Mus musculus: one gene and its partners. The protein of the gene in region 3 interacts with the protein of the main gene of each other region in a pairwise test. Links are inferred from orthologs where the notes say so. Each region holds a gene or a part of one and is shown on either strand. Other genes may lie near its edges.

Region 1 (5,281 bases), on a different chromosome or scaffold from region 3:
TTCAAGTTCTTTCATCCAGCAAATACTTGAGCAGTGTAAGCGTTACAGCAGCACTCAAGAGCTGGTCCTGGCCTTCCAGAAATGAAAACTTAGTCACACTACAAGAAGAAAAATAAGTCAGCAGATAAATGCTTATAAAACATGCAAAAAAAAAAAAAAAAAAAAAAAAGAAAGTCAGATGTTAAGAGTGCCCACTGAGGAAAAAAATCTCTGTTGAGTCCTAAAGGGTTCAAAGGAGCTATCTATGTGAAGAAAGTAAGAGCTAGCATTTCTGTCCTAAGGAGCTCAGTATTCGAGGGTCACAGCCATGAGGAAGGCACAGGGACACAGAAGCACGGAAGCCAAGCGCAATTGCAGAATATCCTCTCCTGGGGTTTAGAGAACAACCGTTACAAGCTGCCACCGCGGAGGATTACCACATCTATTTTTAAAATAACAAAGATGAGCCTAGAGAAAAGTGCTGTGTCTTGTCCAAGGTCAAAGTTACTCAGCAGAGGACCTAAAACTGGAAGCCCTCAGTATTCTACTTTGGAACACAGCACAAGCCCACAGCTTTGACTTATTTCTTTAATGACAGCTCTCTGCTTGTGAGGAGTCACCAAAGCACCTTGAAAACCCAAGTACTAACACTGTACCAGTTTCCAGGCCCGCAGTCAGTCAAACACTGAAAGCCCCACCTTTGGAATCTTACACAAGAGCAAAAGCTGCTCAGACCTAACTCCAAGGCTCCACAGCCGAGACAGCAGCGAAACAGCAGCGTCTCTCCTTGCAGCCAAGAACAAGAGAAAAGGATGCCCCAGAAAATTCCACGGCCTGTTCTAACACTGACACAAATGAATGCTCACCTCTGCTGAACAGCACAGGCAGCTCACAGTCAGACTGGTACACCCACCCCAATAAAAGCCATTTGGGAATTCAGAGGCAGTATGAGGTGAACTGCAGGATGCCAGGAGCATTCAATAGGCCCAGAGTCTTGCAAAAAGCACAGGTGGTTCTATATACTAAAAATAAGTAAATATATACAAATATTACCTATAATGTTAACAAGAGCCTGCCACGTACACTTTAAAGACACCCAAAGGATGACTCTAACTTTTCTTGTATTCCCATCACTCAGTGGGACTCCCTACTCCCGTGACTGGGTGGGAGTAAGATGGTGGGGAGAACACTAAGCCTTCATATCTGGAGAGTGTGAGATATTGGAACTCAGTTGTAAGTTCATAACTCTATCAGAGAACCTGACAATAGAACAAGGATAATGAAGTTTCTATTAAGAGACAGACTTAAGAAATCTTACCAAAACGATAACTCCTTTTCTCCCTCCCCATATAAGCTTTTATAAAGGTATTTGCTTGCTGCACTCAAAATTGTTTTAAAAGCATGCCAATAACAGTTCACTTACAAGTGTACTCATAATCGTCTCGAAATAAAGCTGAGACTTCTGGACTCAACTATTTAGGGAAGATTATTAATTCCAACATGCCCAACACAGACCAAATGACTAGAGGGTACCAAAAGCAGACATGCCTTGTGTCTGATGTCCAGCATTTTAGTTAAAGTCAAAGAAGCTCTAAGCCAGCCACTATAACCCACCAAAGTTACTTCAAAAATTATGGAATTGATCAAAAGAAGGAAAGATACAAAACCAAACAAGACAAAACAAACCCTACCTTGTTTTGCAATGAGCTACAACAGTGACCTCACAGGTAAGCCCTCCATAATGGACCCTGAGGACAGGAGAATGATTTCTCCTACACAGCAACAAAAATTGCCCAGTTCAGGCACAAGAGTCTGAATACTTAACTGCTTCACTCAGACTGGTAGTTAACAAGCAGCAACCCCACACCCCTTTTGACCAGTTTTCTAGAGGCCTGCCCTGGCTTCTCAGGACAGCCAAGCAGACAGACCTGTTTTCCTGTAGAAGTCTCTGCCAGGCCTTTGCTGCCCTACCACCAGCCAGGGCCTGGGAAATCCCCCTCCAGCCTTTTCCTGGCCTGTCACCAGAAGTGCACAGAATGAGTTCATCTCCATCCTTTCCATCTTCCTCTTCCCTAGTCATGTGCCAGCTGTGGGGCAATACCACCCCACCTCTCCTGGGCTCTATGAAAAGAAAAAAAAAAAAAAAGATGCACAATCACGGGAAGAACAAGCACTTATCGTGGAGCAGGGGAAAAAAGATGGAGGGATGTGAGAATCCCTGAGCCAAATCTACTGCATGCAGACCAGAATCCTGGTCCTGCAAACCCAAAGACGGAGGCTTTCCACATAGCAGACCACACCTGTCTAAGCCAGCCTCCTGTTCCATTTTAAACAATTGATACAGCAAACCAGTCGGGTGGAAAAACAAACCACCTCCCTTTCCTAGCGAGAATAAGAACCCTAATCCAAGAATCACTCGCCCCTAGTTTTATTTCTTTTCTCACTCTTTGTTTAGGAGACACTACCTCCTTAACCAGAAAGGTAGGTACCATGCTGCAGCGGCAGAAATGAAGAGTCTCAGACAAGAAGACCTTTGAGGATCATGACGCTAATAAATGCGACCTCAATAGGCAGGTTTCACTCAGCCATCCACAAGTGAACACATGCCTGCAGTCCTAAGGTACCCGGCTCCACACGCCTAGTAGGCAGCTTTCCCCCTAGGCAGTAGTTATCTTATTTGATCCTATTCATCCTCTGACATGGAAGGAACCAGGGGAAGGGCAGGAGTTAGCTTCATACCCATACCTTAGCACATTAAGAGGTTTCGGGCGCCCCGGCGCGCCCTCCCTTGCACTCCACCCTTCAAGGCCTCCGTCACCCGCGGACTCACCACTGTGCGAGCTGAACCACCTGGGTGCGATGTGCAGAGGTAGAGCATCCGCCAGCGAGGCTCGGGAGCCCAGGTACAGCATCCCGTCTCTATGGTGACCGCCGCCGGTCTCTTGGTAACCATTGCCGTGGGCATAGGTGGAGTCCGACGTGGACCCTCCGCCGCCCGGCGCCCTCTCGGAGTCGCCGGTCCCGCGGGAGGCGGGGGTGTAGAGACTAAAGGGCACCCCTCCGGCCGTGCTGGGGTCCATGCCCATGCCCGCCACCGAGCTGACCGAGCGGCTGCGCAGCCCCATCGCCCCGCCGCCCGTCCGGTAGTGCCCAAAGTGGGGCGCCCCTCCCGGCGGCGGCACGGCGCTGTCATCCGTAGAGACCCCCGGGAAGGGGCCCCGAGAGCGGGCCGCCGTGCTCTGCTTGCCCCCCATGTTCGCCGGGGCCCCGGTGGGGCGGGAACGTGGAGGCTGAAACCCTCCCCCACTACTCAGAAGCGGGTGGAGGTCTGGGCGAACATAAAGGCGGAGGGTTGGGGTTGGGGAGAGTCACAAAAGAGCCCCGAGGGGAGAAAAATGAAAAAAGGTGAGGGGGGGAATCCTCAAAAAAAATCCGCGGGGTGGAAAAAGCAAGCGAGCGGGGACCCCAAACTAAGAATTTCAAACTGTCCAAGCCGAATGCATGTTCCCCTTAAGGTCCGAAGAAGCGCGGTCCAGAGCCGGCGCCTCGCGCCACAGGCCGCCCCCGGGCTCCGGAGCCTAAGGAGCCGCAGCGAAGGGAGGGAGGAGCCGGAGGAGGCCGCTCGCCCGCAGCAGGAAGCGGCGGAGGCTCCGGGCGCCGCGCCGTTCGCGTCCCCCGTCTCAGGACTCCTCAGCCCGCGCCGGCGGCCCTCACTCCTCCAGGCTTCGGGAGGGCTCGCGGCGGTGGGGCAGCCAGGCGGAGCTCTGGAAGCCGCGGTCGCGTGGCGTCGCGCTCCGGCTCCAGCCGCCGCCGGCCCCGCCAGCCAGCCGCACCGCCCCGCTCCGTCCCGGGCTGCGCTCGCCGGCGCTCCTCGCCGCCGTGGAGACAATGGAGGGCGGCAGAGCGCACGCGCGGCCCGCGCCCCCTCCCTCCTCCCGCACCCCCCCCCCCGCCGGGTTAACCCCTTCGCGGCCCCTGCGGCGCAGCAGCGAGCTGCGGCCTTGGAGGTCCCCACCCACCTACCGCCTGCGCCCCGGGCGGTCCAGGGACAGGACGTCTCCAGCCGCCGGGCGTCTGCGACAGAGGTCAGACTTCCTCTGGATCACAGCTCTGCTGGAGTCGCGGCGAAAGTCGAATCAATGTCTTCAAAACGAGACCCTGAGTGGGGGGAGGGGTAACGACGGTTTTAGCGGGTAGGAAGGAAACACCGAGAAGAAAGAAAAACCAACTAATAAAGCCTACCTGGGTTTGAAGGGTCACTGGGGGAGCTCCCCTCCCGCCACAGACCTGCCCTCACAGCACCCTCTGGTGGATATGCTGTCCATTCGTTTGGAGGTTCTCCATCCAAGGACCCCAGCCAACCTTAGGAAGTTTAGCATGGGGGGCGGGGGGGGGGGGGGAGGAGGGAATCAGCTTGGACCCAAACACATTTGGGATTAGCTGTTAGGAGATACAACAGTGCCCCAGTGGCGCCTAGACTTTGCTGTCGTTAGATCAGAACCAACTATTTGGGTCTGAATCGATTCCTTAGGCTAGAATATAATCCTCAAAATCAATAGGTGGATTAAAAAAAAAAAAAAAGTAAGAACCATGCAGCGGGAAAGCTGTTTTAGAAACTCCTTGCCCAAGGCCGATTGCTGTTTTGTTTATCATGTATTTTGACATAGAGCCATATTTTGACATAGAGCCACAAGGCAAGGGCACAGTACTCAATAAATATTTGTTGACCAAATTGCATTTTGCAACAGAGACTCACCTTGCCAGGTCAGTCCCAGTCTTTCTCATATTTTCACTTTGCTTATTCTTTGAGCAAATAATTTTTCAAGTGCTCAGCTCTGAGCACCGTAAGCATCACCCAGTCACTAACCTGACCTTCTCTTGTCACTCTGTCAAGTGGGCTCCGTGCTTCCGAAAATGGAATTGGAGGGAGATTTAAAGGGGCTAATAGACTTGTCTCTTCCAGTGTGACTAGCCTGGAAGGCCACAGAAAGATGGTTGTTTGCAAGCACAGAGTGCTGGGGGTGAGCTAAAAGCTTCGAACAAGCTGGGCAGTGGTGGCCTATGCCTTTAATCCCAGCACTTGGGAGGCAGAGACAGGAGGATTTCTGAGTTCGAGGCCAGCCTGGTCTACAGAGTGAGTTCCAGGACAGCCAAGGCTATACAGAGAAACCCTGTCTCGAAAAAAAAAAGAAAAGAAAAGAAAAGAAAAAGAAAAGCCAATGCAAAAATTTTCATGGCTGTGGTGCTCACCTTAATCCCACCACTCGAGAGGTAGAGGCAGGACAATCTCTGAATTCCATGC
Region 2 (5,306 bases), on a different chromosome or scaffold from region 3:
CTGCCATTCAAGGTTGGCTGCTTCGCTAATGCAAAGACTTCTTTACTTTAGTGTTCTTCCCTTACAAACTAAAACTATGTGGACTAATAAACTTAATAAACTCAAAACGAAAGTTTAAAAAACTAGAGCTAAATATAAGGAACGTGTTTCTAGACATTTCTGTCTGTTGATTCTCAAGACAACCCTCCCCCTCTCCCCAATCTTTCCTTTTCCACTCTTTACTTTTTACTTTTTTTTTTTTTTTTTTTTCAAAGACAGGATCTCATGTATCCTACCTAGGCTGGCTTTGAACTCCTTATGCAGCTAAGGAAGACCCTGAAGCTCTGGGTCCCTGTTTCTGCTTCCTGTGTGTGTGATTTCCTGTGTGCGGCACCATAGCCTGACCTAGGTGGTGCTAGGGATTGGAGGCAGGATTTCATGCATGCACACCACTTCCATTTCACTTCAGTACTCCACCAACTGAGCCACAGCTCCTCATCTATTTGTCATTATCATCGGTTTAAAAAACCCTATGAGAACTGAGTTTTGCCTAGGAGGCAAACAGGAGGATACAAGAGAAGAGTTACTCAGTGGTAAATACTATTTTGGTATAAATAAGGTTCTTAAGTATTATCATCCTTTCTACCTGAACCAGCCAGATGCCATCTTTTGTGTCTTCCACAAGCTCATAGAAATGCATTTCACCACTGAAATTGGTACTAGAAACAGACTCAGATGCCTCTTCTTCCTTAAGAGCAGAATAGAGTTCACCTTCCATCAAGTCACCTGAAGGAAAAAATAAAAACCCTGGTAAGGTTTCAAAAATCCCATGTTCTCAACTTCAATGATTAATACCATTTTACATCATGAATAAGCACACTATTATATTTTTATTCTACAAAATTCAATAGCTTTTGAATACATCAGCAAAAAATGAAAAAAAAGACAACAATTCATCTCTTATAGTAGTGCATATATTCTAATGGGGTCATCATATAGCTTGTTAGTAAATTACTAATTACATCAGTCCAAAAAGAAATCCTCTCAAATTAGTAATCATTTAATTTTACATAAAGCCTGCACAGGCTTCACATGATTTTTCAAAGCTTGGTTTATGTTGTTACTCGAAAGGTTTAGAAAAGGGTTCACAGAATTTGCTATCAGCCTGCTTATAAATGGCAACAAGGTTTTTATGTGACTGGGAGAGAAAGAATGTTACCTATCAGAACAACAAACCCCACATTCATAGACAAGTTTACAGTGTAAACGTGGCTCTTGTATAATTAAATATAAAAAAGCAAACCATTCATGTCACATTATCTAACCTTTGCCTTAAATATTACATGGTGATATTCCAGTTCCATTCCAAACAGCAAAACCATCCACAACAAACATTTAGGTTTCACAGTTAAATTGCCATACCAAGACTGTTTTTTGTTGTTCTTATGCTGTTAAAATGTGTGATCTGAATCATACTTTGGTTGTATAGTCTTTAGGCTATGTGTGGATTCTTTGTACATTCCATATGACAACAATTTTAGGCTCAAATGGCAGCAAAATATCTAACATAAAGCTCCAAGGGGAAAGCCTGTGTGATCAAATAACTGTATGAGATTGCTAACCCACTCCCCCCACCCCACCCCACCCCCCAGCCCCAACAACCAATGGCAGCATAAACCTGGTGCAAACAAGAGCAATAATAATAACCACTTGAAAAATGTATCCCTTACGCAAAGGACTCCTTCCTTCTATCTCACTGGCGAGATGAGTTCTGTAACCCTTATGCTATAAGTATGTAAGTGTCAGACTGATAAACGTTGTCATCTTGCCTATCACACTATTTGTCTAGATAGTACTACCCAAGGGGGAAAAAATGGTCTTCTAAAAGGCCCCGCTGATGATATACTTGAAAGGACAAAACAAGATAATCATAAGTTTCCAATGCTTCCTACATCACCTCAGAAGGCCTTTCTTAATTTACATTCCTCTTTCAGGAAAACTATCTAAACAAGGAGACACTTTAAAGTTAACTGTATTTCCCCACCCAATCCTACCCCAAATCAACGGCTACATTAAATATTCTTTCAGCACTATTTCAAGTCTTTTCCTCAACCCATTAAGTGACGCAGAGATGCCTGTGACACATGACAAGAAAGGTAAGTCAAGATTCAAAAATAAAATGTATAATCTGCAAGAAAATATTTACTCTAAACAAGGCCAACAGCCACACAAAATGTTCACTAAAGTATAAAAAGCAATATTGCACTGTGTACACCTTACCTATAATTAAATGCATAATTTACACGTAAATCTTTAGGTCCACGTGCCTTTTGTTATTATTTTAATGATGTTTTACCCTCCTGGTAGCTTGTTTTTATTGTGGATGCAGATGCTGCTATTTACAGACTATGTTTTGTAATTTTTCCTTTCTCTATAATCAATTTCAACTGACGTTCCTGAATTCTGGGACAAATGATTCAATTTAATGATTTTTTTTTAAAGCTACACTTTCAAACTGTCATTTCCAAAGAGCCTTTGGAACACACCAATACACCTAACAGTTGTCTTTTCCAAACCGAGATTTACATATTTATTTAGAAAACGTAGACAAAGATGACCTGGGCAGCTCTCTGGAGCAGTCTGTTTAACCATTCTGGGGACCGCCTAATTCTGGGGAGTGGGTAAGAGCCAGGACAGTGGAGGCGACCTCCAGGAGCCCAGCACTTGCCTGACTTCTCCACCAGCTCCCGAACATCTTTCTTCTCCGGCAGCCCGGAGTAGCCCAGCCCTCGACACTCCAGAATGGTCTTCAGCTTCTTGAAGCTCAATGCCACCGGATCCACCAGCTGAGTAGCAAAGATGCCAGTCTCGTACCACACAATGGCCTCAAAAAACCTGGCCAGGACGAACAGGACCAGGAAATACAGGAGCAAGAAAAACAGCTTCAGCCACATCTTCGCCCTCTTGGCGTCGCCAGGAGCCGGGACGCCGTGGACAAGGGAAGGGGATCGAGTGCGGGGCGACAGAGCGCAGCCTGGGCGAGGGCAGCGAGGGCGCGCGGCGGTCACCGGCGGGCCATCCCCGCGGGGAGGCAGGTGGATCGCGGCGTGCGTGCGACTGAGAGCCCCGGCTCTGGCCTTGCGGTCAGGAGCTGAGAAAGGGAGAAGGGGGGACGTTCAAACGCACCCCACCCATCGAGCTGCGGACGGCTGGAAGAGGGCAAGAGCCCACCTGGGGTGACCGGGAGGCAGCTCCGAGGGACTGCGGGCCAGCGGAGGGCGGTTGGGGCCGGACTGAGTGGTCCAGAGGGCGCGGTACTCGGCTGGGCCAGGCCCGGGGCCCGGCGCGCCCAGCGCGGGTTGGAGTGACCGCCGCAGCGCCGCGCCGAACGCCCAGGCTTCAGGCCCCGGCGGCCGCCCAGGCCTGGCGGCAGCTCCAGGTTCCCGCGGGCGGCGCCTATCAGGCCCCGCGGCCCGCGAGGGGGCGTCGCGGCGGCTCCCGCTGAGGAGGAGCGCGAGACGACAGTCGTGAAGGGAGGAAAAAAAGAGGAAAAAGCAAATAACGCTAGGCCCCAACGCGGCTCTCCCGGGCGGCTTCCTGTCAGCTGCGTAGCCGCGCGGTGCCCAGCCCCGTGCGGACGCGCCGCGCCAACCGCGGCCACCGTCCCTGCCGCCTCTGCAGGCCGCGGCCGTCGCCCCCAGAGCACTGGACCCGCTGTAGCCGCGGCCCCAGTCAAGACATAACAACTGACGTCGGCATCGGGGCGGGGTCTCGGCAGGGGCGGGGTTAGAAGCCGCGGGGTGCAAGGGGAGAGAGGGGCTGCGGGAGGCTGGGCTGGGTAAACCTTCCGAGTTACTGTGCTCTCGCGGTCCCAGCCCTCTGATGCGCTGATGTTTAGTCACTGATTTCAGTCCCAGGATTGGACATTGGACCCTGCGACACTGTGCACCTTTGTGCTGAGCGTGAAAAATAAAGGCTGCTAAAAGATGTTCGTTTTTGTTTGTGGTTTTTGTTTTGTTTTGAGACACTGCCTTATTAAATAGTCCTGGCCCGCCTGGAACCGCTCTGAACACCAAGCGGGCCTCAGAATTCAGAGATTGCCTGCCAGGCATGGAAGTGCTGGGATTAAAACCGTGCACCGCCGGGCGTGGTGGCGCACGCCTTTAATCCCAGCACTCGGGAGGCAGAGGCAGGCGGATTTCTGAGTTCGAGGCCAGCTTGGTCTACAGAGTGAGTTCCAGGACAGCCAGGGCTACACAGAGAAACCCTGTCTCGAAAACCCAAAAAAAAAAAAAAAAAAAAAAAAAAAACCGTGCACCACCACACCCACCCAAATCATCAAGATCTGTAAAAATCAGAATCTGTGTTTTAAGTCCAGTCCCTGTCAACCGCGGATGCTTTTGGGTTTTTCTTTTGTTTAGTTTTTTGTTCGGGGTGGGGTGGGGGGGAGGGGTGGCACAGCTGGCTTGAGGTGCTTGAGGTGAAACTCTGAAAACAGATGTTTTTCTACCTTTGCTTTAGAATGCGATTTTCACATGTGTGTTGGAGGAGGTATGGCCAAAAAGAATTTTAGTATGTGATCCAGTTGTGGCTAGTCTCCTAGAGGGTTAAAAAGTAGACAATGAAGGTCTGAGTTGTCAGGACAAAAGTTGTTAGGTGTGGTTAGGTCCAGGTGCAAAGGTCTGTGTGTTTTAGCCAGCCAGAAGAACTCATATAAAATGAGTTTGACAGGCAAGCGTATGGTACCTGGTTCCGTGTTTATTTAACTCTAGCAGGGTCATGTTCTCTCTCTCTCTCTCTCTCTCTCTCTCTCTCTCTCTCTCTCTCTGTCTTTCTCCCTCTCTCTGTCTTTCTCCCCCACTCTGTCTCTCTCTCTCTGTTTCTGTGTGTGTGTGTGTGTGTGTGTGTGTGTGTGTACGCGCGTGTGTGTGCATGTGTGCGTGTGTGTGAGTCTTCTTGATCAGGAAAACAAGTAGGAATTCCAGGTGAAATGTTAGCCAGCAAGGAAAAGCATGAACAACCCTAAACCAGGGGTGAAATTTTTAGGGAGAGAGTGTGACCCTCAATCAGGGAGCAAATGAGCCATGGAAAACAAAGAATGGATCATAAAATGTAGACAAAGGATAGTACCCCTTTATAACGCAGTTAACAAAGGCATCTCGGTGTACAGCTAGTGGAGGAGCTAGGAAGGAAGAAGCCTAGGAGCAGGGTGGGCAGGAATGTACAGCTTCAGACTTACAGAACAGTGTGGTGGTTTTCCAGGGCAGCAGACCACGTGGAGACTGTATTAAACTGTTCCTGCTGACAGACTTGGCTCTGTAATTTCA
Region 3 (4,776 bases):
TATTATATAGTTTACACATTACTAGGTGTGCACAAAAGAGTATTGAAATGTGTGCACTTCATGACTGATGCAGCACACAGCAGTCACAGCTGTGCTTGCAGTGTAAGGCAACTACTTTTCTAGAGTTCTTGTGTTTGCCATGTGATGGATTGCCTCAGGTTTAGGATACATAGAACAATTTCTCACTGATTTCACATCTCTTAAAAGTTTGCTCACAGTACCCTACCTTGAGAGCATCTAATCCTAAGAATGCTTCTTTCTGTTTCCCTGCTTATACATAAGCCTGCTTAGCTAGCATGCTATATAGCACATACTTACAAGGTTTTTAACTTTAGATATATTTTAACTCAAAGAAGCAAGCTGAGAAAGAATACAAATATTAAATCCAATAATAAGAATGTTAAAGTCAAATAAGAAAACCCAAGAAATATACTCAGGCTTTTAGAGCTAGACATGAAACATAGAGACATAAAATTTCGGTATTCTGTTAAGTGACTTTATTGCTCATAAAAGGTGTCTTAGCCGTGGGGAATGATGCTCTCCACTTACAAGAGAGAGGGAGAGCAGTCTCAATGTCCTGTGAGTGTGTGAGAGCTATTTGGACAGACTTACTGGATGTCATGAACAAAGGGACTAGGGATGAGGATGGTCATGTCATATGTAGTGTCTGTTGATGCTTTATCGCTGTGCTTCCTGCTTCTTCCAGTACTGTGCTGTGCATATTTGTCTTATAAGCTTCTCATAGAAAACTTTCAGTCTGTTAAAGGCCTGCATTTAGAAAAGCTACCATGGTTTTGAATAAACTCTAGGATGAGCTGATGGTGATGAATGTTGATCAGAAGTACTGGGTCATGCCTTTGAACTAGGTAATGATAATAATAAATTGTATTTGAAGTGTCTGTTTTTTGTGTGTACTGAAGTTTGCTCTTGACCATGTCAACAACAGTTTTATTTCAGTCTTAATTTAAGAGTAACCAAAATGGATCCTTTTCAAGAGGACTTTGGATAAAACTCTTTCTCTTTATCTCTTCCCTTCCCCATGTATGTGTGTTTTACCCTTGATGGTGGTGGTGGTGGTGGTAGTGCTGGTGGTGGTGATGACTCTAGTCACAGGCAGTCTCGTTTTTCAAAAGCATGTCTGAGCTGAAGCTATATGATACTCAAAGTGATTACTGGTGACTTGAGGCCCTGTAGAGTCTGAACATGACTTTTGTCAGTTTCATTCTAGGTCTGTCAGCTTGTTAGGTCATACAGGATGTGATAGTAAGGACCAACCTGGGGCTGATTATAATACAATGAGATTGGAGAAGGGCTATCCATTTCTCAGTGCATTTTTGTGTCACTATCTAGGTTATAACGGCTACCTAGGTATCAAAGTATTACGGGAATTGAGTTAGTCATCAGAGCTGCTCCAGGAGCATGAACTCAAAGCAAAGTGAATTCTGAACCTCTAGGGAGATTTCCTCCAGACTGGGAAAAAAGGAATCCTTCAGTGTCTCGGTACACTCTCTATCTGTTGTGCAACATGGTTGCCTAGTCGAGCTGGATCAGAGCCCACACCCTCCTAAGCTTCAGTTCTTATTTAGGATCACATGGTTTCTGTTCTGTTATCACAAAGGTTACTTAAAACAATTTCCCAGCTTAGAGGATTTTAAGCTTGGCTCAGCTCTAAGGATGTATTGATTGGATATTAGCGTGGCAGTACCACTCTCTCTCAGCCCTGTGCCTTTTTACACCGACTTGTCAGGACACTTTGCAGGTCTCTTTACCTGTCTGGACATCTCATAGCTGAGCCCAAAATGCTTCTCCCAGTGCCTATAAAAATTAGGCTCTCAGTCCTTTCTCTCCCCCCCCCCCCCTATTTAAAATACTTATTTTATATTCTGTGTATCGATGTTTGTTTGCATGTATGTCGTGCACCATATATATGCCTGGGTGCCGAGGGAGGCCAGAGAGGGTGTCATATCACCTGGAACTGGAGCTATAGCCCATTGTGAGTTACCATGTGTGTGTTAGGAATTGATTCCAGTCTCTCTGGAAGAGCAGCCAGTTTTCATAACCCCTGAACTCTCTCTCCAACCCCTTCTGGTTTATCTTGTGCCAGTTCTTTTGAGATATAATTTACCTTATAAAAGTAACCCCCTCCATTTTTGTAAATGCTGGCGGTTGAACTTTGCTGAGTGTGCACTGTCCAAAATGCCCCTCCAGCCCCAAGGCTGCCATCTTAAAAGGTATAACTTAGCCTAGGGATTGCAGGTAGCTCAATGGCAGCACCTGCCTATCATGCCAAGATCCTGAGTTGAGTCCTCAGCAGTACAAAGCAAAGCAGAACTCCGAGGCTTTTCTACTATAAGCACTAGTTAATTTAAGAATATTATTATCACTCAGTAGAAACTTTCTGCCCATTAGAAAACACTTTCCTGTACTGTCTCTACATTCCCACCATGTACCTGTCTAGACATTCCTTACAAATGAGCTTGTACAGTCTGGTCCTTCTGGCTGGCTTCGCTCACTTAGCATAAAGATTCAAGATCTTTCTGCTGAAGCTTGCAGATGCCAGACTTCATTTGTTTCTGTGCCTGAGGTATATTGTCATGTGGATGCACCATGCTTTACCCGTCAATTAGAGAACATTTGAATTGTTTTTACTTTCTGCCTTGTGAATAAAATTGCTACCAACATTTGTTTCTAAATTTTCCATGAATGCAGAGAAGAGAGGTTTTAGCAAACCCCAGAGTTATTTGTTCTATAAATGGGCAATTCTCATTTTTATACCTAATTATACTTCTTTTGTTTCATGGGCTCTGTTTCTCTTCATTATGAACATACCTTGTTGTAGTCCCTACCACAGCAGAATAAATGACATGCCATTCTTTAATCCAGGATCTAAGATGTCCACTGAGGCGCAGAGAGTTGATGACAGTCCAAGCACTAGTGGAGGAAGTTCTGATGGAGATCAGCGGGAGAGCGTTCAGCAGGAACCTGATCGAGAACAAGTTCAGCCTAAGAAAAAGGAGGGGAAGATATCCAGCAAGACAGCCGCGAAACTGTCAACCAGTGCCAAAAGGTAGCCAGCCGTTGTTAGCACTTCATTTGAATTTCCTTCCTTGTACTTAGTTGATTTTCTGGACTGAAGGTCATAGGGTTTATAGATTGTCTCCCCTTTTATATGATGTGGTCTTTTAAAAATGTGCTTTTTAATTGTGGAAACCTTTTTAAAGTCATGGCATATTATAAAATTGGCACTTGTAGTGTTTTGAAATATTTATATCTTGATAGAAAATGTGGGTAGGACATTATAAACGTATAATTTGATTTATGGTTATTTGATTGTGAATATATGCTCAATGACACAGAATTGGCATTGAGAATCTCTTGGCTGGGGCTGGGGAGTGAGGCTGATGGCTTAGTGAGAACAGTGTTGGTTGCTGAGTTTAGATTAGCATCACCCATATAAAAACTGGGAATGGTATGCACATTTGTAATCCCAGCGCTCTGAGAGGAGGTGTGTGTGGTATGTGTGTGTGTGTGTGTGTGTGTGTGTGTGTGTGTGTTGGACACAGGTGGATTATTATAGCTTATTGGCAATCAAATCTTGTCCAGTTAATGAGCTCCAGATTTAGTGAAGAGATCCTGTCTAAGCAACAATGAAAACTGAACCAATACAAACAGGGAGTGATAGGGGAGATAACTTCTGTGGCTAACACATACATGCACATGAACACACACAATCTGTTGAAGTAATTATTAAGTGATAATTTAGTATCTAATCTCCTTGTTGGTAAGGTCAGAAATGCTAGTATTAATGCATCTTGAGTTCATTACATTAGGTGGTAGTGGTGGTGGGTTGCTCCTGATGCAGATTTCTTCTTTCCCTAGAAGACAGAAAGATCTTGAAAGAGGTACTTGGATGTTGGTCTATCACTACTTTAACCACTTACAGTGATTGGCATGTCGGCGGGCTTAGAGGGAATCTGATTTGATAAGGTTACATCATAGCTTGGTGCTTGGAAGATAATTTGAAAGGCAGATTATATTCAGTGGACTCACGTTTGTTTGTGATTTTATACTCTTTAATACATTTTAAAAAATAAAAATACCAAATAAGAAGTAGGGCTTAACATTAACATTAACATTAACATTCTTTTCACTACACATAACTTCAGGTACAGGAAACTCTCCGAATGTTGGATGACAGCTTTATGAGCCATTGGATAATAGGAATTATGGAACTCCTTTCCTATAAAAACAAAAACTGTGTGTCCTTCCAACTTCTCCTATCCACAGGCCTGGGATGAATCTTTGCAGGCCCTCTGGTGAGAGTTATGGTGACTGGTCAGCAAGCCATTTAAACCAGCTAGATGTAGGATGTCCAGCCTTTTGGTAGCATGCTCTACAAATGTTTTAGACCACAGTCCTAGCTGTCCTAGATGCATGCAGCCTGTCCCTGTGTATGCTTCCTGAATATTCACTTTTTCCTTGCCAGGATCTCTTACTACTGTTGAGGGAATTACATGAAGTCAGATAGCTCCAGGTATTCACCAGTTTAGATTGGAACATGATAGGGCAGGGAAAATGCTTTTGTTTCTTTATGCTGTTATACCCCATGTCCAAGGAGACTTCTCACGGTGATCTCTCTCCTTCTATGGCACAACATAAAGTGACCTGCTCCTGCCAAGTAGGGCTGGGGCAGGGTAGACAAGAAAGATCAGGAGTGGAGAAATACAATGTTTAGGGAGGTGGATGGGTAATACTGTTCAGTTGAGATCTTATGCA
Region 4 (5,356 bases), on a different chromosome or scaffold from region 3:
TTGTGGGACTACACTGTTATCTTGGCCACCAGTTGTTTACTTAAGTGCGAGTAAAACAAAAATCGTAGAATACTTTTCAAATTGCCAGTTTTTGATGGCTACTGGCTTTCTAGAGAAGACTGTTCCAGTTCCACCCTGGAAGCAGAGTTGGGAGGACCCCTGGGACTCAGGGCCACCCAGAGGGGACCCTGTCAAAAGGAAAGGGGTAAGCAACTGTTTAAAAGCTAAATACAATTGTTTACTTAGACAATATTCAACACTCAACTGGTTTTAGCAGCAGACTGAAATCTGTTTTTATAAGTTTAATTACAAGGCACAGAATTTAAAAGATGCTTACAAAGAAACCATTTTTTTCAACATCCTTAAGTCTAATTGGGTAGTTTCCATTTGTAGGGGCTTGGGCGGGGGCGGGGTGGGGGTATAAGCTTTCACTTAACCCATTTCTTCTGCTCGGATTCATTTGTGTGTGTGTGTGTGTGTGTCGTGAAAATAAATCAAAAATGTGAAAAGGTCCTTTTGGCTTTCTCCGTAATATACCAAAGTCTTACTAGCGTTACTTGATGGGCAATCCTTTTTAATTAGAATGGGATGGAGGTGGGGGCTGGCGCTGCATCATTACACTTCACCTAAGTACTGAAAATACATACAAAATATGATTTTCCTCCCCAAATCATCGTGACCCGCCCATTTCTGCACACTCCTGCCCGCGCCTCCTGGGGAGCCCCTCTAAGTGTCAGCCCTGAGGACCGGCCAGGGGACCGTGGCCCGTCAATTCGCTCCCTCCAAGGCGCTCAAACTTCGCCTCCCTCTCCCTTTCTTCCTCCCGGTTCCCTTTTGTGCCAGCTCAGCAGTCTCATTGAGGCGAGCGGCGGCCGCCGCGCCGTGGTAAACAAGTGCCTGGCTGTCAATCAAGAACTAGACTGGAGCAGGAGAGGACCGGCCTAAACCGGCGCTGAGCAGCTCTCAGCCGGCCCGCCCGCTCGCGCCCGCGCTCCGCGCGCCCCGCTATACATACGGCATACGTCGCGCGGCGCTCGCGCCCGCGCAGCCTAGCCTGCTGAGCCGGGGGCGGGGCCACCGCGCGCCGCGCTTCCGCTTTCCACGCCCCAGCCGGTGACCGGTTCAATCTGGCTCAGGCCACCCTGACACCTACACAGTTACAGCCGGGGGGAACTGGGGCGGCGGCAGGGAGGCGAAGGCCCGGGGGGGAATAATGGGCGAGGCCGAGCTGGCCGCAGCGTTCTCTGCAATGCCCAGCCTCTGTCACGTCCCCTCGGGTCAGACAGGTACCAGCCCCGGGGCGACCCTGACGCCCGCACGTTTCTCAGTCCCCGGTGGGAACCGAGCCTGCACCCAAGGCAATGGCACCTGCGGCGGCTGCGCTGGGCGAGGGGCGCGCCCAGAAGCCGAGGTGGCGGGCCAGGAGGGACCTTTACCGGCGCACGCCGGTTCCAAGCCTCGCCCCAACCGGCGCGAGCCGGCTTGATCCTCCCCACCCCCACCAGCCCAATCCAATCAACGCCTGGCATCGCCTTAGCAACAGGCTAACAAACGCTGCTCCGCCTATCGCCGGGCGCCTGGGGCGGGCGCTCAGCTACCAGGCTAGTTTGAGAGCGAGCTGCCAGTTTGAAGTCATTGAAACTATTCCAGCCCTGCGAGCCCGTCCACGCGTAGCCAGGCTTGCCGGGGCACCTCGCAGGGTGCAGGTAGTTATCCTAACCGTGAGATCGTGGTGCAATGGATCAAGTGTTTGTCCACAGAACTCTCTATCTATACCCCCCACTACAAGTCTGAACTCTTCGAGGCAAAAGTCTTTGTCTCTTCTTATTTCATTAAAGGCTGCAACGTCCAAGCAGGCTCAAAAGCAAATTCATGTGCCTGCCCTTTTTTTTTTTTTTTTTAAAAAAAAACGAGAGCGCTGTCATTAGGCATTGTACGCCCCATCCGTGTGGACGCTGCAAAAAAAGAACTAGGGAACCATTCAGTATTTGGAATACCCTGGTGTAGGTGCGTAAACCCTAAGAATTGGCTTCGCCTTCATATTTAAAAGACGATACATTAATTCTGTGTAACTTAAAGCATCCTCCATTTCCCACTTGCCTTAAGTTCAATTAACGTCTCCCTAGGATGTACATTTTAGATATTAAAAAAAAACAAAGTATTCCTCTATCTGAAAAGTCGCCAGTATTTGCACTAAAATACTGCATTAGAAAGGAGAAACAAATTACATAACCAGTTTTAACATTATATTCTTCTTGGACTAGGAATTAAGTCATCGCCACCACCTGACGCGTGTAACCAATCTGCTGAGAGGAGAACAAGCGCCCCTCCTCACCATCCCCCAGAACTGGTCCGAAACAGGATTGAACCGCTTCTAACAAAGGGTGGAAACTTAGAAAAACAAGCTTGGAGTCGCCTGTATTTCCACAATGTAGGCACTTAAACAACAGATTGCAAATCTCAGGACCCCTTCTCCCTTTGACAATGCTTCAATCTTCGTCTTATACCCCAAACCCAAATCCGATGTGTCATATACTTTTCAATTCCATCTGTCTGCCATGGGTTTCATTGAATCCACGTTCCAAAGTTAGACATGATGCTCCGAGAAGAAAATCACTGACCCCGAATGGCTTCTAAAACTGACTTAATAGTTTGCATAATGATAGACATTATTCTTTGAAATAAACGATGCTTGATGTACATTTTAAAGGGAATTGGGAAAAATAGGGGGAAAACACGTGGGGGTGTTGGTGCCATATGTCAAAATAAGGGATGGAAGCCCTTTATCAAAGAACAATAATCAAGTCCTCAAAGTCGTTTGCACGTTAATATCAAAATCAGATACATCTAGCAACCTTCTTAAATGTCACTACAGTTCTTTATTGGAGCTCATTTCTGTATCTAAGATTGTAAAATAAAGGAAATCCAATATCGGACTGCAGCTTTTGCAAATGAATTTGAAAATATTAGTAAAACGACGGAGTCACATTTAAACACGTTGTAAGGTGCGTATGGCAGATATGAAGCCGGTTACAGATGTAGTTAAGTGCAGTTTGCACTCACTTTGCAGACGCCTGCATGGATTAAGGCTTAACACGCTTGAACGTCAAGGAGAAACTACAGCTTCTAAGTTTGCTAACCTTTAACAAACTGCCGATTAGAACTGCACTAAATGAGATTAAAGTTCTCATGCAAAGAAGTCGAATGTAGTGACTAATTAAAAACTTACCTCTTTCGTGCCCAATTAAGATGTCTTTATGGTTGAAATATTCTACTTCTTCAGTGTAATTCTGTGTATAGGCAGTATTGGAGCCGGCGTTTCTTGATTCCGTCCACCGTACTTTCGCATGTCCTCTTGCGTGAATTTTAAGAGATTTTACTCTGATCTCCCCGGTAACTTCTAAATTTACCCTTCCTGAGACAGTGTCCCCGCTAGAATACACGGGGACATTACTGTCATTAAGACAGTCAAAGCTTATTGTCAAACTCTTTACCTTTCCCAGCACCATGATTATAACAAAATCTATAAAAATATAATGTAAGACCAAAAAAAAAGTCAAGATCGCATATAAGATGTGATCTTCACTTAACACTGATGGGTGTCTTTGCCGTGCAAGAAAAAAAAATCATGCAGGCAGGATCAGTGATTGTCTACAAATAGTTCATTGAGATTTCTTAAAAAGTCAGGGCAGCAGAGAAGCCGCTGCTCCACGCTCCTGCTCGTCTCAGTGGTCTCCTTACAAAGACGGGCGGCTGGAGGCTGCCAGCTCACTTTAAGAGCAGCTTTGTGAAAAACAACCCTAGTGCGCAGGCGCAGGCTGCGACTGCGGCCAGCCTTCCAGCGCGCTCCCTCCCGCGCGGCGCGCGCCCGGCTCTTGCCGCACGCTCCCGGTACAGTAGGTGTGGAGCGGGCGCCGCCGACTTCGGTGCATGGGCCGCTGCGATTGGCAGGCGGGCACCCCGCCACCCCCGCCACCCCCGCCACCCCCGCCACCCCCGCCACCCCCGCCACCCCCGCCGCGGCCGCAGCGCCGGCCCCGCACGCGCTCCCGGAGCTGAGCAGAGGGACCCGGCGGCGCCAGGCCAGGAGTGTGCGCCTGGGCCGCGGACCCGGAGGACGTGCGAGCCGTGGGGGAAGGGGAGAAACCAGTTGGGCAAGCGGTTGGTGGCCCGAGTCTGAGCTAATGAATTTCAAAAGAAACGTAATAAAAAGCAGACAAATATTGTTCATAGAAGAAAGCGTTGTTGACTTGGATAGAAATAACAAAAGCAAGCAGGACTTTGTAGGCTGGGTGGCAATGGACTAAGCCAAGGCCTGAGGAGCCAAAGAACAATGCTCCAGGCAGCTCCCGTCTTCAGCTCCTACAGCATCAAACCCAATCAAGTTGTCTGTGTAGTGTGTAGGCCTGACCACTTCCTCGAAGGGAGAAAAAGTCCTTTTTCAAGACATCACCTTTTGCTCCTTTTGCAGGGAATGACTCGATTACAACTCCTGTATCAGGAATAAGAATAGAGCTCACACCCCTAATTACCACCTCATAAGAGGCGGTTTGAACATAGTCATTTAGCTGACATTGTTTACAACAGACTGAAAAGCCTTAGGAAAGCATATAAGGTGGTTTTTGGTTTTTAAGTATGATTTGTTATATAAGTGAGGCTTAATTTTGTTAAGCCTTACTTTTAATTCAACATGCTAATTGCCGTGCTGCATCTTTAAATACAGGCACATTTCTCCTTTTTTAATGCCTTGAGTAAAATACTCAGTCATAAACATCACCAGGATTTAGGGGGTAATAGATCATTAACAATCAACATAACCTCATAACAGGGCTATGTTATAAAATCCTGTATTATGCCTAACCAAAAAATGTGGGGGGTTGGTTGTCCATAGTTAAACATTAGATTTTTTTTTTGAATGATAAATCTGGATAGGTCGAATCACAACAAACTAAACACATTCATCTTGCTGTTTTCTTTATTTAAAAAAGAAAAAAAATCTACATGTTTAGTTAGATTGAACTTGACACTTGAACTGAAAAAAAAAACCTAAAATATAACTATGTGAAGAATAATTACTGGAAAAGCCAAGAAGAGTTTAGCTTTTTATGCATAAAATTACACATCTGTGTATTTGGTCCGGGGTGGGGGGTAGGGGCAACTTTCTTCTCTTGGTTGACACCTGGTGGATAATCCAGGTAAAGTGTCTAACCCTTGGGCTAAGGGTTGGTAACAAATACTATTGGTGTTTTTCTCCCCCTAGTGGTAACAGCCACGTCTTTGCTAGAATGTCAAGTTTCCTTCAGTATGAGGTGGATTTCAGCATTAGACACCACAGAAGATTGAGCAAGGAGTGGAG

Evidence for each region.
Region 1: the proteins of Ube2e2 (region 3) and Znrf1 interact in a two-hybrid assay, tested with the Homo sapiens proteins (2 studies listed by BioGRID and IntAct). The link is inferred for Mus musculus from reciprocal best matches to the Homo sapiens genes UBE2E2 and ZNRF1.
Region 2: the proteins of Ube2e2 (region 3) and Rnf103 interact in a two-hybrid assay, tested with the Homo sapiens proteins (2 studies listed by BioGRID). The link is inferred for Mus musculus from reciprocal best matches to the Homo sapiens genes UBE2E2 and RNF103.
Region 4: the proteins of Ube2e2 (region 3) and Arrdc3 interact in binary tests that used the Homo sapiens proteins (3 or more experiments, as listed by UniProt). The two-hybrid records come from large-scale screens. The link is inferred for Mus musculus from reciprocal best matches to the Homo sapiens genes UBE2E2 and ARRDC3.

The regions. Positions count from the first base shown.
Region 1 is NC_000074.6:111,535,093-111,540,373, reverse strand, and holds the start of Znrf1 (E3 ubiquitin-protein ligase ZNRF1), read right to left. Parts: upstream 3,735-5,281; 5' UTR 3,234-3,734; coding exon 2,810-3,233; exon of another isoform or gene 2,725-2,809; intron 2,073-2,724; exon of another isoform or gene 2,041-2,072; coding exon of another isoform or gene 1,908-2,040; intron 1-1,907. UniProt on the Homo sapiens protein: E3 ubiquitin-protein ligase that plays a role in different processes including cell differentiation, receptor recycling or regulation of inflammation. Mediates the ubiquitination of AKT1 and GLUL, thereby playing a role in neuron cells differentiation.
Region 2 is NC_000072.6:71,492,290-71,497,595, reverse strand, and holds the start of Rnf103 (E3 ubiquitin-protein ligase RNF103), read right to left. Parts: upstream 3,720-5,306; 5' UTR 2,934-3,719; coding exon 2,708-2,933; intron 766-2,707; coding exon 626-765; intron 1-625. UniProt on the Homo sapiens protein: Acts as an E2-dependent E3 ubiquitin-protein ligase, probably involved in the ER-associated protein degradation pathway.
Region 3 is NC_000080.6:18,886,557-18,891,332, reverse strand, and holds part of Ube2e2 (ubiquitin-conjugating enzyme E2 E2), read left to right. Parts: intron 1-2,883; coding exon of another isoform or gene 2,884-2,891; coding exon 2,892-3,067; intron 3,068-4,776.
Region 4 is NC_000079.6:80,881,803-80,887,158, reverse strand, and holds the start of Arrdc3 (arrestin domain-containing protein 3), read right to left. Parts: upstream 3,738-5,356; 5' UTR 3,510-3,737; coding exon 3,230-3,509; intron 1,491-3,229; exon of another isoform or gene 1,369-1,490; intron 1,065-1,368; exon of another isoform or gene 1,016-1,064; intron 1,005-1,015; exon of another isoform or gene 1-1,004. UniProt on the Homo sapiens protein: Adapter protein that plays a role in regulating cell-surface expression of adrenergic receptors and probably also other G protein-coupled receptors.